3 linked regions of the Macaca mulatta genome follow. The protein of the gene in region 2 interacts with the protein of the main gene of each other region in a pairwise test. Links are inferred from orthologs where the notes say so. Each region holds a gene or a part of one and is shown on either strand. Other genes may lie near its edges. The genes, in order: LNX1, DVL3 and SNX22.

Region 1 (3,749 bases), on a different chromosome or scaffold from region 2:
TTTTCTTAGGAAAGAGGCTCTGCCTTAGTGTTCTTTGTAGTCTGCAGACTTAGTTCAAAGTCAGTGTTCTCAAATATGTATTGACTAAATTAGTAGTATAAGGGGATATATAAAAATTTAGGAAAAAACTTAGCTTCTTGAGCAGCTCAAGACTTCACCATTCTCATTAACTCATTTCAGTGGAAATCAAATGAGTCACCACACTCATTAACTCATTTCATTAAATTTGTTCTTGAGGTAACCATAATTTTCTCATTGGGAAAAACTACCAAACTCTTTATACTATGCCGAATCTTTTTCGATAGGCCTAAATTTAGAGAATGAGTGCAGAATAGGAAAGAAGTCCACATTTACATTCAAAGTTTAAAGCCACCTAGTATCTGAGGTCACTGATCAAAAACAGCTGCCCATTTCCCAGTGGGAAGTAAAATAACCCAACTTAAGAAAAAAATGCCCACAAAGTCAGATCAAGGTCTGACTTTGCAACGGGTTAACATAAGGAGGTCTCACTGCTGCAATAAAGTTAAATACACAACACCAATAAAAGAAAGCATTTACTTTTTAAGGAAATAAAACAAGTAACACTGGTATCAACTTGAATGGATGCTTCAGGAGGGCAGGGGATTTTGTGTTTTGTTTAAACATCTGCAGAAAGATGATCAAAGCAGGGTGTTCTCTCCAGTATCAAGAGGTAAGAAAATGGACACACTGTGACTTACTGGGTTCAAAGCTTTGAACTAGAACATGTAATGTTTTAGATGGTTATGTTTACAGCTTCTCCATATGAAATATTCAGTAAGAGTATACTCATTTATATATCAAACTGGGCAATGTTAAAACTGGTATTTGATCATGACCTTGGATAACAATCATCTAATTCTTACCTTTCTCCAAAAAATTGGGCACACATCCTCCCAGGTGGGAATGTTAATGCTTTGGTATTTACAGAATAGTCAGTTACCTGCTTTGTACATGAGGAGTCAGTGAACCATTATGTAAAATGTGTATCTGACACACCACAGCTCCCAAAGAATGAATTTACCACTGACATCAAGGTTTACTGTGAAATGCAGCAGATACATATTTTACAAAATATGAAATTTAATGAAATTCATACTTTTAAGCAATCATTTCAGTAAAAGAAATTGTTATGATGTATATGTATGACAATAGATTCAGAACTGGTTAGAGTTGAATTTCAGCAATACATCTTAAAGGTATTTGCCAAACAAACCCTAAAGCTCATTTTATTTCAAGTGAAAACACCATCATGAAAAAAAGTCATGTCACATTGACTAACAAGGTTGGTAACAAATGTAATGATCAACTTTATCACTTAACATTTCACAAGACTTTTTATTGGTTCTAAAAAGCAATTAATATTTTAAAGGTACGGTATATAAACAAAATAGCCATATCTTGATTTTTGGCAACATGAAAAGGCCAATTTCCTTTCAAAACAATTCCTGGACTACAGCTACAAATGTGGTGAACAACGTCATATAGAGTAAAATTCAACTCCTGACACACACTTCTATGGCAACTGTAACATAGTTAACACTTGGCCTGTACCTATATGAACACTGATTCATTAGGGGCCAGTGAATAAAAATTTCTTCAATCTCATTTGCTATTTTAGTTGAGGATTCTACTAATTTACAGAAGAGCTGGGCCTTTCCTTCTCCCATTCCTTTTATAACTTCCTATCCAGTTTCCTGCAGTTTATTTTTCCTCCTATATGAATTGTTCTTATAATCTTTAAATGTATCTGTTTCCGTTCACTTTATGCCTGCATGCTTCTCTATGACTTGCCAAACATGTAGAACTGGGTGTAAAGTGGTATTTTTCCAAGGTCAAAAAAAGTATACAAATTCATTTATTAGGATTAGGTTTAAATTGCTTTCATTGAGATTATTCAAAGGATTTTTGCCTTCATTAAAAATTATATCAAGTAAATATTATATGACATCCATGTTTGTTCACCAATAAGGATTTAGGTTTATCCAACTTTTTGCTAATACAAATTCAAGCATTGTCTTAAGTTAAAAATATGATTATCGTTCCCAGTAGATGTATAACAGAACACAATAGGGGGTGTCAGTTTTTTAAGGATATTCAAAATTATGGAAAACAGAGGTTCAATTACAAAAAGCCAGCTAACGGCACAAAGGTCACCAAGGTACGATACAATTTTGAGTGGGACCTATGCAGTGCTACTTAGCCATTAAAAATGCCAACAAAAGGAATGGGGGATGAATCACAGTTAAGTATTCCCTTAACTGTAACACTTAAATGTGCATGTACACTGACTACATTCTATTTCAGGTGCTTGTATAACTGTAAAGACATTATATTACGAAGAAACACAGCTGGAAGTCTGGGCTTCTGCATTGTAGGAGGTTATGAAGAATACAATGGAAACAAACCTTTTTTCATCAAATCCATTGTTGAAGGAACACCAGCATACAATGATGGAAGAATTAGGTAATAAAATAATGACTAACCAAAAAAACTTGTATTAAATGTTGTTTAATAAATGCCAAAGCTTGGCCTCATTTGAGATAAGGCATGTATTTATTATACTTTGTGGGGAGTTAAAGTATTTATGTAGCATTCAACTTCTGAGAAATCCAAAATAATTACACATATTCTTAGTCCCATACTACAACTCCCCATACTTTTAGCATTCCTTCTAACACAAGCTGAGTGGATAGTGAGTTTGGAGAATGTAAATAAGAGGCAAGAAATATCTAAATTAAAAGCAACATAATTAAAATGATCAGATGCAGCAAAAATTAGGACCACTAAGATAAACTTGCATTAACTTCAGCAATGAATTAAAATACTAATCATATCTTGGTTTTTTTTTTAGATGTGGTGATATTCTTCTTGCTGTCAATGGTAGAAGTACATCAGGAATGATACATGCTTGCTTGGCAAGACTGCTGAAAGAACTTAAAGGAAGAATTACTCTAACTATTGTTTCTTGGCCTGGCACTTTTTTATAGAATCAATGATGGGTCAGAGAAAAACATAAAAATCACAAATAGGCTAAGTTGAAACACTGTATTTATCTTGTCAGTTTTTATATGTAAATACACTGTTAAAATGTCAGGAAAAGTATGATCTAATGAAAGTCAGTTACACCTCAGAAAATATGATTCCAAAAATATTAAAACTACTAGTTCTTTTTCAGTGTGGAGGATTTCTCATTACTCTACAACTTTGTTTATATTTTTTCTATTCAGTAAAAAGCCCTAAACAGCTAAAATGATTTGTATACCCCACTGAATTCAAGTTGATTTAAATTTAAAATTTGGTATATGCTGAAATCTGCCAAGGGTACATTATGACCATTTTTAATTTACAGCTAAAAGATTTTTTTAAATGCATTGCTGAGAAACAATGCTTTCATCAAACAAGAAATAAATATTTTTCAGAAATTATAGTTGTCTTTTAGTATGTGATACTAATTAAGATTACTTGTATTATTACCATTTAAAAGATCCTAGTAATTTATCCTTGCAAATACCATGTTATTTGTTACCATCACTGACAAATGTGTTCTAGGGCTATCCCTAAAAATGCTCAGAGAATATAAACTTGTTTTGTTTTAGTAATGGCTAAAGCTCTTTTTTCCACAATCGTTAGCGACTGTATAAAAACTTGCGCTGCTCCACCAGTGGGCCTTGGGAAATGCATCAAGGCCAAACCAGCTTGACCCTGGCTCATAGACATGGTCATGAGGC
Region 2 (3,649 bases):
CTGTAATCCCAGCCCTTTGGGAGGCTGAGGTGGGAGATCACCTGAGGTTAGGAGTTGGAGACCAGCCTGGCCAACATGGTGAAACCCTGTCTCTACTAAAAATAATAATAATAAAATTAGCCAGGCGTGGTGGTGTGACCCTGTCAGGAGGCTGAGGCAGGAGAATCGCTTGAATCAGGGGGGAGGAGGTTGCAGTGAGCTGAAACTGCACCACTGCACTCCAGCCTTGGCTATAGAATGAGACTCCGTCTCAAAGAGTTTTGCCGCTTCTAGCCCACTGAGGCCAGCAGAGAAAGTGCAAAAGCTTGGCAAGGGCCTTAAAGGGATTGGGAGGTACAGCTTTGGCTAAGAATGATGACTCGAGGCCTTCCTGAGGCGGGTCTCCCTGGAGCTGGCTCTGGTGGTGGCAAAGCGGGTCTGCGGAAGGGGCAGCTCTCTGGTCTGTGCCTCCTCTCATTCTAGCCAGAAACTACCACGGTCTCTGTCATCCAGAGCCCACCTGACCTAGGCTAGGGACCTCTCTCCAGAAAGACCTAGCTCCATCCGGCCCTTCCCTCCACAGACATGGCCAACCTGTCTCTCCACGATCACGATGGCTCCAGTGGCGCCTCTGACCAGGACACACTGGCCCCTTTGCCGCACCCGGGGGCCGCCCCTTGGCCTATGGCTTTCCCGTACCAGTACCCGCCACCCCCGCACCCCTACAACCCGCACCCAGGCTTCCCGGAGCTGGGCTACAGCTACGGCGGGGGCAGCGCCAGCAGTCAGCACAGCGAAGGTAAGGTAGAGGGGCCGTGGAGGAAGGCTATAGGTAGGCCTCAGGCTTCCCCCGCCCACTCAGCCTGCCCCGCGCTGGCCCTGTTTGCCTCCTACAGGCAGTCGGAGCAGTGGCTCCAACCGTAGCGGCAGCGATCGGAGGAAGGAGAAAGACCCGAAGGCCGGGGACTCCAAGTCGGGGGGCAGCGGCAGCGAATCGGACCACACGACACGCAGCAGCCTGCGGGGGCCGCGGGAGCGGGCGCCCAGCGAGCGCTCAGGCCCGGCGGCCAGCGAGCACAGCCACCGCAGCCACCATTCACTGGCCAGCAGCCTTCGCAGCCACCACACACACCCGAGCTACGGTCCTCCCGGAGTGCCCCCTCTCTACGGCCCCCCTATGCTGATGATGCCCCCGCCGCCCGCGGCCATGGGGCCCCCAGGAGCCCCTCCGGGCCGCGACCTGGCCTCAGTGCCCCCGGAACTGACCGCCAGCAGACAGTCCTTCCGCATGGCCATGGGAAACCCCAGTGAGTTCTTTGTGGATGTGATGTGAGCAGGGCCCCTCCCTCACCTCCATTCCGCTCCCACCCCAGCCGGCTGCGTTCCTCTCTCCATCCGTCCGTCTTTTTTACTTTGTCTGGTACCTGAAAGGGAAATAAACGGAACTAAATCCAGGTGCGCTAACTGCTCGCAGGGTGCTGCGAGGGTGGGGTGCACCTACCGATTGGCTCTGCAGTCCCCTAACCTGCCTCTGGCCCCACTTCCTTTCCTCTGCCCACTAACCGCTGCATAGGACTTCTCAGGACCCTTTTTGTCCCTGGGACCAGACTTGGTGCTGCCCCTTACTCCCCTCTGCAAACCCCCTTTTGGGAGTTGACCCCAGCAATGTCCTTGGTGGCATGCTCACTCCCTCATTCTCTCCTTTCCCCTTTAGCTCCCTTTCACCATTCATTCAGCTACATAATCCCTCTATTAACCCACCCTATCAGGCACGTGTGCAAACCTCTTGACTTTACCCCACATTACTGACACCAAAATATATTTGCTTCATCTGCCCCTACTAACTGTCCCCCTGCCTGCTGCCTTAGCCCTGCAACCTAAAGCTGTAGTTGCCTCCAGTAGCCATCCATGCCATCCCTGCCTGTGCCCAGGATCAGAGGCCCAGAGGGCCCCCTCAGTTGCCTGAGGGGCTAGTGCCTTCCAGGGAGCATCTCTGCTCTACCCCTGCCCCATGCCTGCCCTGCGTGCTGGTTCCTTCAGACCCCTAACCCTACTAACCATCAGGCTCTTCTCACCTCCAGGCCTGAAACATTTCTTTTCTTTCTTTTTTCCTCCCCCAATTTTCCCTGGGCCTGGAGCAGCCAAGAATTTCGGGCTGTTTGACTTTCTGTGAGCCCCCAGCGAGGGGAGGCCCAACCTCCGAGGAGACCAGGAACCCTGCTTCAGCAGCCCCTCAGGGCTTCCCAAGGATGTCCAACCCCCACACCCACACGTTAACATAATGGGTCACTAGGCTTCTGGGGAGGGCCCAGCTTCACCCATGCATGAGAGACTCTCCTCCTTTCCAGAGAGAATCGGACTGTACCACATGTGGCAGCCTGCGAGGGGATGGGGTGCGAGTTGGGGGGGGGTGCCTCTTTAGCTCTTTATCTTTCTCATGTATGCATACATGCACAGAGACGCAAGCACAGGTGCCTATGCAAGTTCACTAAAGCCTCAGGGCTGGTCCCTGCCGGAAGGGCTGGACCCTCTCAATCCTCTCCTAGGTTGTGGGGCTGGTCCCCTGACACCCTTCTCCCCATCCTGGTAGCCCTCAAACCTCGCACACATGTCCCCGGCATTTTCTCACCTGGATAAAGCCTGTAAGCTGGGTCTCAGGCTGGGCTCAGCAGAGGACTCGCCCTGCGACTGACAGACCATTCCCACCCCCACACACAACCTCCCCCGTTTTCACATTCACCATGACACCCCAGAGCAAGGACACAGGAGCCCACAAGCCAATTGAGGTTGGGCAAGGAGACTACCAGGACTTCCAGACAGAGTACCAGGTTTTATTTTTCACCTTATTCTCCACTTTAAACAAATCATGACTTTCTCTTTAAGCCTCTGCTATAAATTCTCCTGGCTGTCCTGGGCTTCCATATTTTGGGGGCTGGGGTGTCAAAAGTGAGATGAAGTCCTTAGCTCCAGGTTTTGGGATAAACCAAGGTAGGGACATTTTGGCATTTATTTCAATTAACAGTACTTCCTTGGACGGTTGCGGTGGCTCACGTCTGTAATCCCAGCACTTTGGGAAGCTGAGGCAGGTGGATCACTTGAGGTCAGGAGTTTGAGACCAGCCTGGCCAACATAGCGAAACCCCATCTCGACTAAAAATACAAAAATTAGATGGGTGTTTTGGCACCTGCCTGTAATCTCAGCTACTCAGGAGGCTGAGGCACAAGAATCGCTTGAATCCAGGAAGCAAGTGGAGGTTGCAGTGAATTGAGATCGCACTCCAGCCTGGGTGACAGAGTGAGATTCTGTATCAAAAGCAAACAAAAACAATACTTCCTGGGATTTTGGTGCACAGGGAGCTTTGTTGGAAGTGTGACTCAGTCTTGCCTGCCTTCTGGGAGCTCTAGAATTGTTCCCAACCTAGTCCGTGGCTTCTAGCCACCACTAGAAGTTTCACGTACTTCTCTCTCTGACTCTGTCTTGTCCAACTCTCTGGAGAATTTCTCCACGATTGCTCATGCCTGTCAGTATCAGTGCTTCCATCGTTCCATCTTTGATTCACTTCTCTTTCCTTTCTGTTTACTCCCAAAATGGAGTCATTCATCCTGATGTCCTCAATTGCTGCTGATATGCTGGTGATTCCCAAATACATAGCTCCAACCCCAACTTCCCC
Region 3 (3,749 bases), on a different chromosome or scaffold from region 2:
AAACAGGTCTGGCCTCAGGCCTGCAGCTCCTTGAGCTCCTGCTCATGGGCTCAGCCCCCACTTGGGTGTAGGAGCCCTTGCCAAGGTAGCAGACAGCAGCTGTCCACCCCAAATGAAGCCTCAGCATTCCCAGGTCACATTCTGTTCATATCAGCTTGGTAAAGAAGTCAGGTTGCTGAGGAAATGGACACCAGGGAAGCCAAACTTGTTTTCCTTGTGTCTACAAAGCAGGCTCCAGGGAACAGGAGCAGGAGGTAGTGGCTCCAGAGGTGGGCAGCAGGAAGGTGATGCTGCCTGACGGTCCCAGGAGCTGAGAAATGCCAAGCCCAATACCCTACCCCTGTAGCCCGGTATCTAGGCACCTCCTCACCTGGGGAGGGGGTGCAAACATAGGGATCCATATGGAAGCTCAGGACAGGCCGCTGGTGCTGCTGGGAGCTGGGAGGAAAGAGGGTCATAAACCATGGGTGCAGGAGGCAGGGCAGAATCCCACAGAGGGGTGGAGACGGGGCTGAGATCACCAGGGACCCATGAAGGAAAACATGAGTGGGAAATGGGCTCAGGAGGCACCAAAGGGAAAACAGACTTCAGGGCCCAGGCCAGACAGGCCCAGGGAGCAGGCCCGCCTCCTAGCATATGGCCACTAGGGGGCGGCAGGGGCCAGGCGCGGGCTAGGGCTTTGACTTGCCTGCTCTCGCCAGGCAGGAACTCCCCCAGGGCGCTGAAGAGAAGAGAAACACTGTAAGCTGCCTGGGGATGCCAGGGGAGCGTGAGGAAGGGGTGGAGACACCAGAGCCCAGAACTGCGCCTCCCAGGGGACCACTGCTTCTATTTGTAACAAGCCCCAGTTCCGGAGGTGGCTGGGGTAACCAAGGCTGTCCAAAGAAAAGCCTCTCCACCCAGGTCAAGAAGGCTGGTGACGGTGGTCATGTCAAGCTGGATCCCGGCAGATGTGAGACGAAAGGGCTTGCCCTCCAACACCTTTCCTCACCTGTTCACTGCCGACAGCCCCTGGCCCCCGCCACCGGCCCCCCTTACCCCCAGTTGCTAGCCTTGGGATCTGTGGGGAAGTGCCGAAGTCTCAGGAATTCCAGTAACTCCTTGGGCACCTCCTGGTTCAGGTACAGGATGCCCTGGAGACGACAGAGGAGACTTGCAATCGGACCCAGCTACTAATTTGCATAGCACAGTGCCAATGAAAACGCAGGGCTCTTTGTTCCAAAAAAAGAATTTCAAGACAATTGAACCAGGCTCAGGGCCCTTCTGAGCGCTGGGCCCTGTGTGCACAGGTTGTACCCCATGATGTGGCATAACTTCGCTGTTGGGGGAAGGACCCTCACCCTACATCCCATCAGGAGGGCAGCACAGGACCTCACTCTGGAGGGGACAGGACCTGGCTTTCATGGAGCTGGGACTACCTGTGTCCATTACCTCATTCAGTCCTTTCAACAGTCCAGAGGTGGGTGTTTGGACTTATATTACTCTTCAGAAGATTGATGCTTGAGGTGGTGAATAACAACCCCAAGTCGTGGGTTCACTCCCTGCCATGCCCTCACACCTCTCTGTCTGGGCCACACCCCTGGCACAGCAGGCTGGGGGGCAACCAAGTGTGCCCTCGCATACCTGGATGTAGGCCTCCAAGCCCTGCCGGCGCTGTTCCAACCCTCTGGTCCTCCAGTTGGGCAGGCGTTTCGAGGGGAAGTCGGGCACTTTGTACAGCTTCTTGATCTACTGGAGGTTTACCGCGTGCAATCACAGCATCCCGACTGAGCCCTCAAGCCCTCTTCGCCCGAGCCGGAAACCCTCCCGCGCCCCCGCCTTCGGACTGTACCCTGGGACAGACCCTGGTGAGTGGTGGACAGGCGGAGGGCGAGGAAGGCTCCAACCCACCCACAGACGCCCGGGGGCTGACCGGCCTCGCAGGGACTGAGGCAGTAATAGGGGTGGCGGAGGCTGGGGCTGGAGCTCGCCCGCCGGCCTCACAGGGCCTGGGCAGGGGCTGGACGGAGGCTGGGCCGGGGCCGGGGCCGGGGCCGGGGCCGGGGCCGGGGCCGGTGGGAGGTCGGCGTCGCCTCACCCGCTTGTGCAGCGCGTGGAACTCGCTGTAGCGCCTCGGCACCGTGTGTCTGCGCCCGCTGCACAGCACCTCCACTTGGAACACCTGGCGGCGCGGGCGGGCAGCGGGGGTACGCGTGAGGCCCCGCGGGAGGACACAGCAGAACCTGCGCCCGGCGACGCGCCCACCCTCCCGCGCTCAAAGGCACAAAGCGGCCTTGCGGCACCGCGGCTCCTCGGGGACGCTTCGCTCCCGCACACCTGGAAGAACGGGCTGGCGGACCCTCCCCTCGGCGCCCTGGGGTCCCTCAAGAGCTCGAACCACGGCCCGCGAGGCTGGCAAATCCAAGCGGCCCCCAAACCCTCGACAAGGTTTCCCCCGACGGTCCAGCCCGCAGCGTTTGTTCACCTGGGCCCGGGCTCCGGGTCCCCACTGAGTGCAGCGCGGGCAAATCCTGCGGGTACCGGCGCCCCTCCCCATCCAGGGGCCGCGCTCACCATGTGGCCTTTCTCCGGGCTCTGCCTGGGCCCCTCGGCCTCAGGCCCCACCGACGGGATGTGAACTTCCAGCATCCGCGCCCCGGCCCCGGCCGCTCCGCGCGCTCGGCTCGGAGCCCTAACTCTCCGGGAGCTGACGGAGGACCCCGGCGCGGCCGGCCCCGCCCCCTCGGCCCGCAGGCCCCGCCCCCAGGCGACCCCGCCCCGGGCGTTCCCTTGCGCGGCGGGTCCTGAGCCTAGAAGATTAAGCGGGACCCGGACGCCGCCCCCGAGGTCTAGTGCGCCCGCAGCGCGGGGCAATGGAGTCACCCGTTTGTCAAACATTGACGGAGCCCTCACTGATGCCAGGAACTGGGGAGCAAAAATGTCACCCATCCTGAGTTAAGCGCCTGCTATGAACTAAGGACCGGCCTGTGGCTCCTGGCGTGGCCGGAGGCGGGACCCGGGCCTCAGCGCCGGTCCTGGGGCCAACCAGGGACCTGTATTGTGTTCCTCAGTCCCTTCCCAAGCCTTTCCTTCCTTTAAGCCTGCTCCCTGGGATTGTGATATGGAGTCCCCGGCTGAGGCCACACCTGAGCAAGGCTTGAACCCAATCCAGCTTTGATGCCCCCTTCTCCAGCATCCACAGCACACCCCCACGCCCCCCAACACACACATTCATTCATTGTTTTCATCCATCCATTCACTCCTATTTTCCAACCCTAAGGGTCTCCAGGCTGTTTGTGGGGAAGAGGCAGTTTAGGGACCTAAGCTCCGATTTGGGGGTCAGAAAGCCTGGATTTCAGGAGCTCTGTAGACCTTTGCTCATCTGCAAAATAGGGATAACGTGACTCCTTCAGGCGAGTGTATAAAGTGAGATGATTTGGCGGGGCACGGTGGCTCACGCCTGTAATGCCAGCACTTTGGGAGGCCAAGGCAGGCGGATCACCTGAGGTCAGGAGTTCGAGACCAGCCTGACCAACATGGTGAAACCGTGTCTCTACTAAAAATACAAAAATCAGCCGGGTGTGGTGGCACATGCCTGTAATCCCAGCTACTCAGGAGGCTGAGGCGGGAGAATCGCTTGAACCTGAGAGGCAGAGGCTGCAGTGAGACGAGATCAAGCCATTGCACTCCAGACTGGGCGACAGCAAGACTCTGTCTAAAAAAAAGTGAGATGATTTGTGTTAGGCCCTTAACAGAAGCATTGAGTAGCA

What was found.
Region 1: the proteins of DVL3 (region 2) and LNX1 interact in a two-hybrid assay, tested with the Homo sapiens proteins (2 studies listed by BioGRID and IntAct). The link is inferred for Macaca mulatta from reciprocal best matches to the Homo sapiens genes DVL3 and LNX1.
Region 3: the proteins of DVL3 (region 2) and SNX22 interact in binary tests that used the Homo sapiens proteins (3 or more experiments, as listed by UniProt). The two-hybrid records come from large-scale screens. The link is inferred for Macaca mulatta from reciprocal best matches to the Homo sapiens genes DVL3 and SNX22.

Annotation. Positions count from the first base shown.
Region 1 is NC_133410.1:80,049,199-80,052,947, forward strand, and holds the end of LNX1 (E3 ubiquitin-protein ligase LNX), read left to right. Parts: intron 1-2,325; coding exon 2,326-2,484; intron 2,485-2,872; coding exon 2,873-3,008; 3' UTR 3,009-3,620; downstream 3,621-3,749.
Region 2 is NC_133407.1:96,305,278-96,308,926, forward strand, and holds part of DVL3 (segment polarity protein dishevelled homolog DVL-3), read left to right. Parts: intron 1-562; coding exon 563-778; intron 779-875; coding exon 876-1,286; coding exon of another isoform or gene 1,287-1,312; exon of another isoform or gene 1,313-1,433; intron 1,434-2,120; coding exon 2,121-2,152; 3' UTR 2,153-3,649. UniProt on the Homo sapiens protein: Involved in the signal transduction pathway mediated by multiple Wnt genes.
Region 3 is NC_133412.1:41,496,955-41,500,703, reverse strand, and holds the start of SNX22 (sorting nexin-22), read right to left. Parts: upstream 2,662-3,749; 5' UTR 2,629-2,661; coding exon 2,554-2,628; intron 2,162-2,553; coding exon 2,078-2,161; intron 1,729-2,077; coding exon 1,624-1,728; intron 1,134-1,623; coding exon 1,039-1,133; intron 722-1,038; coding exon 689-721; intron 439-688; coding exon 371-438; intron 1-370. UniProt on the Homo sapiens protein: May be involved in several stages of intracellular trafficking. Interacts with membranes containing phosphatidylinositol 3-phosphate (PtdIns(3P)).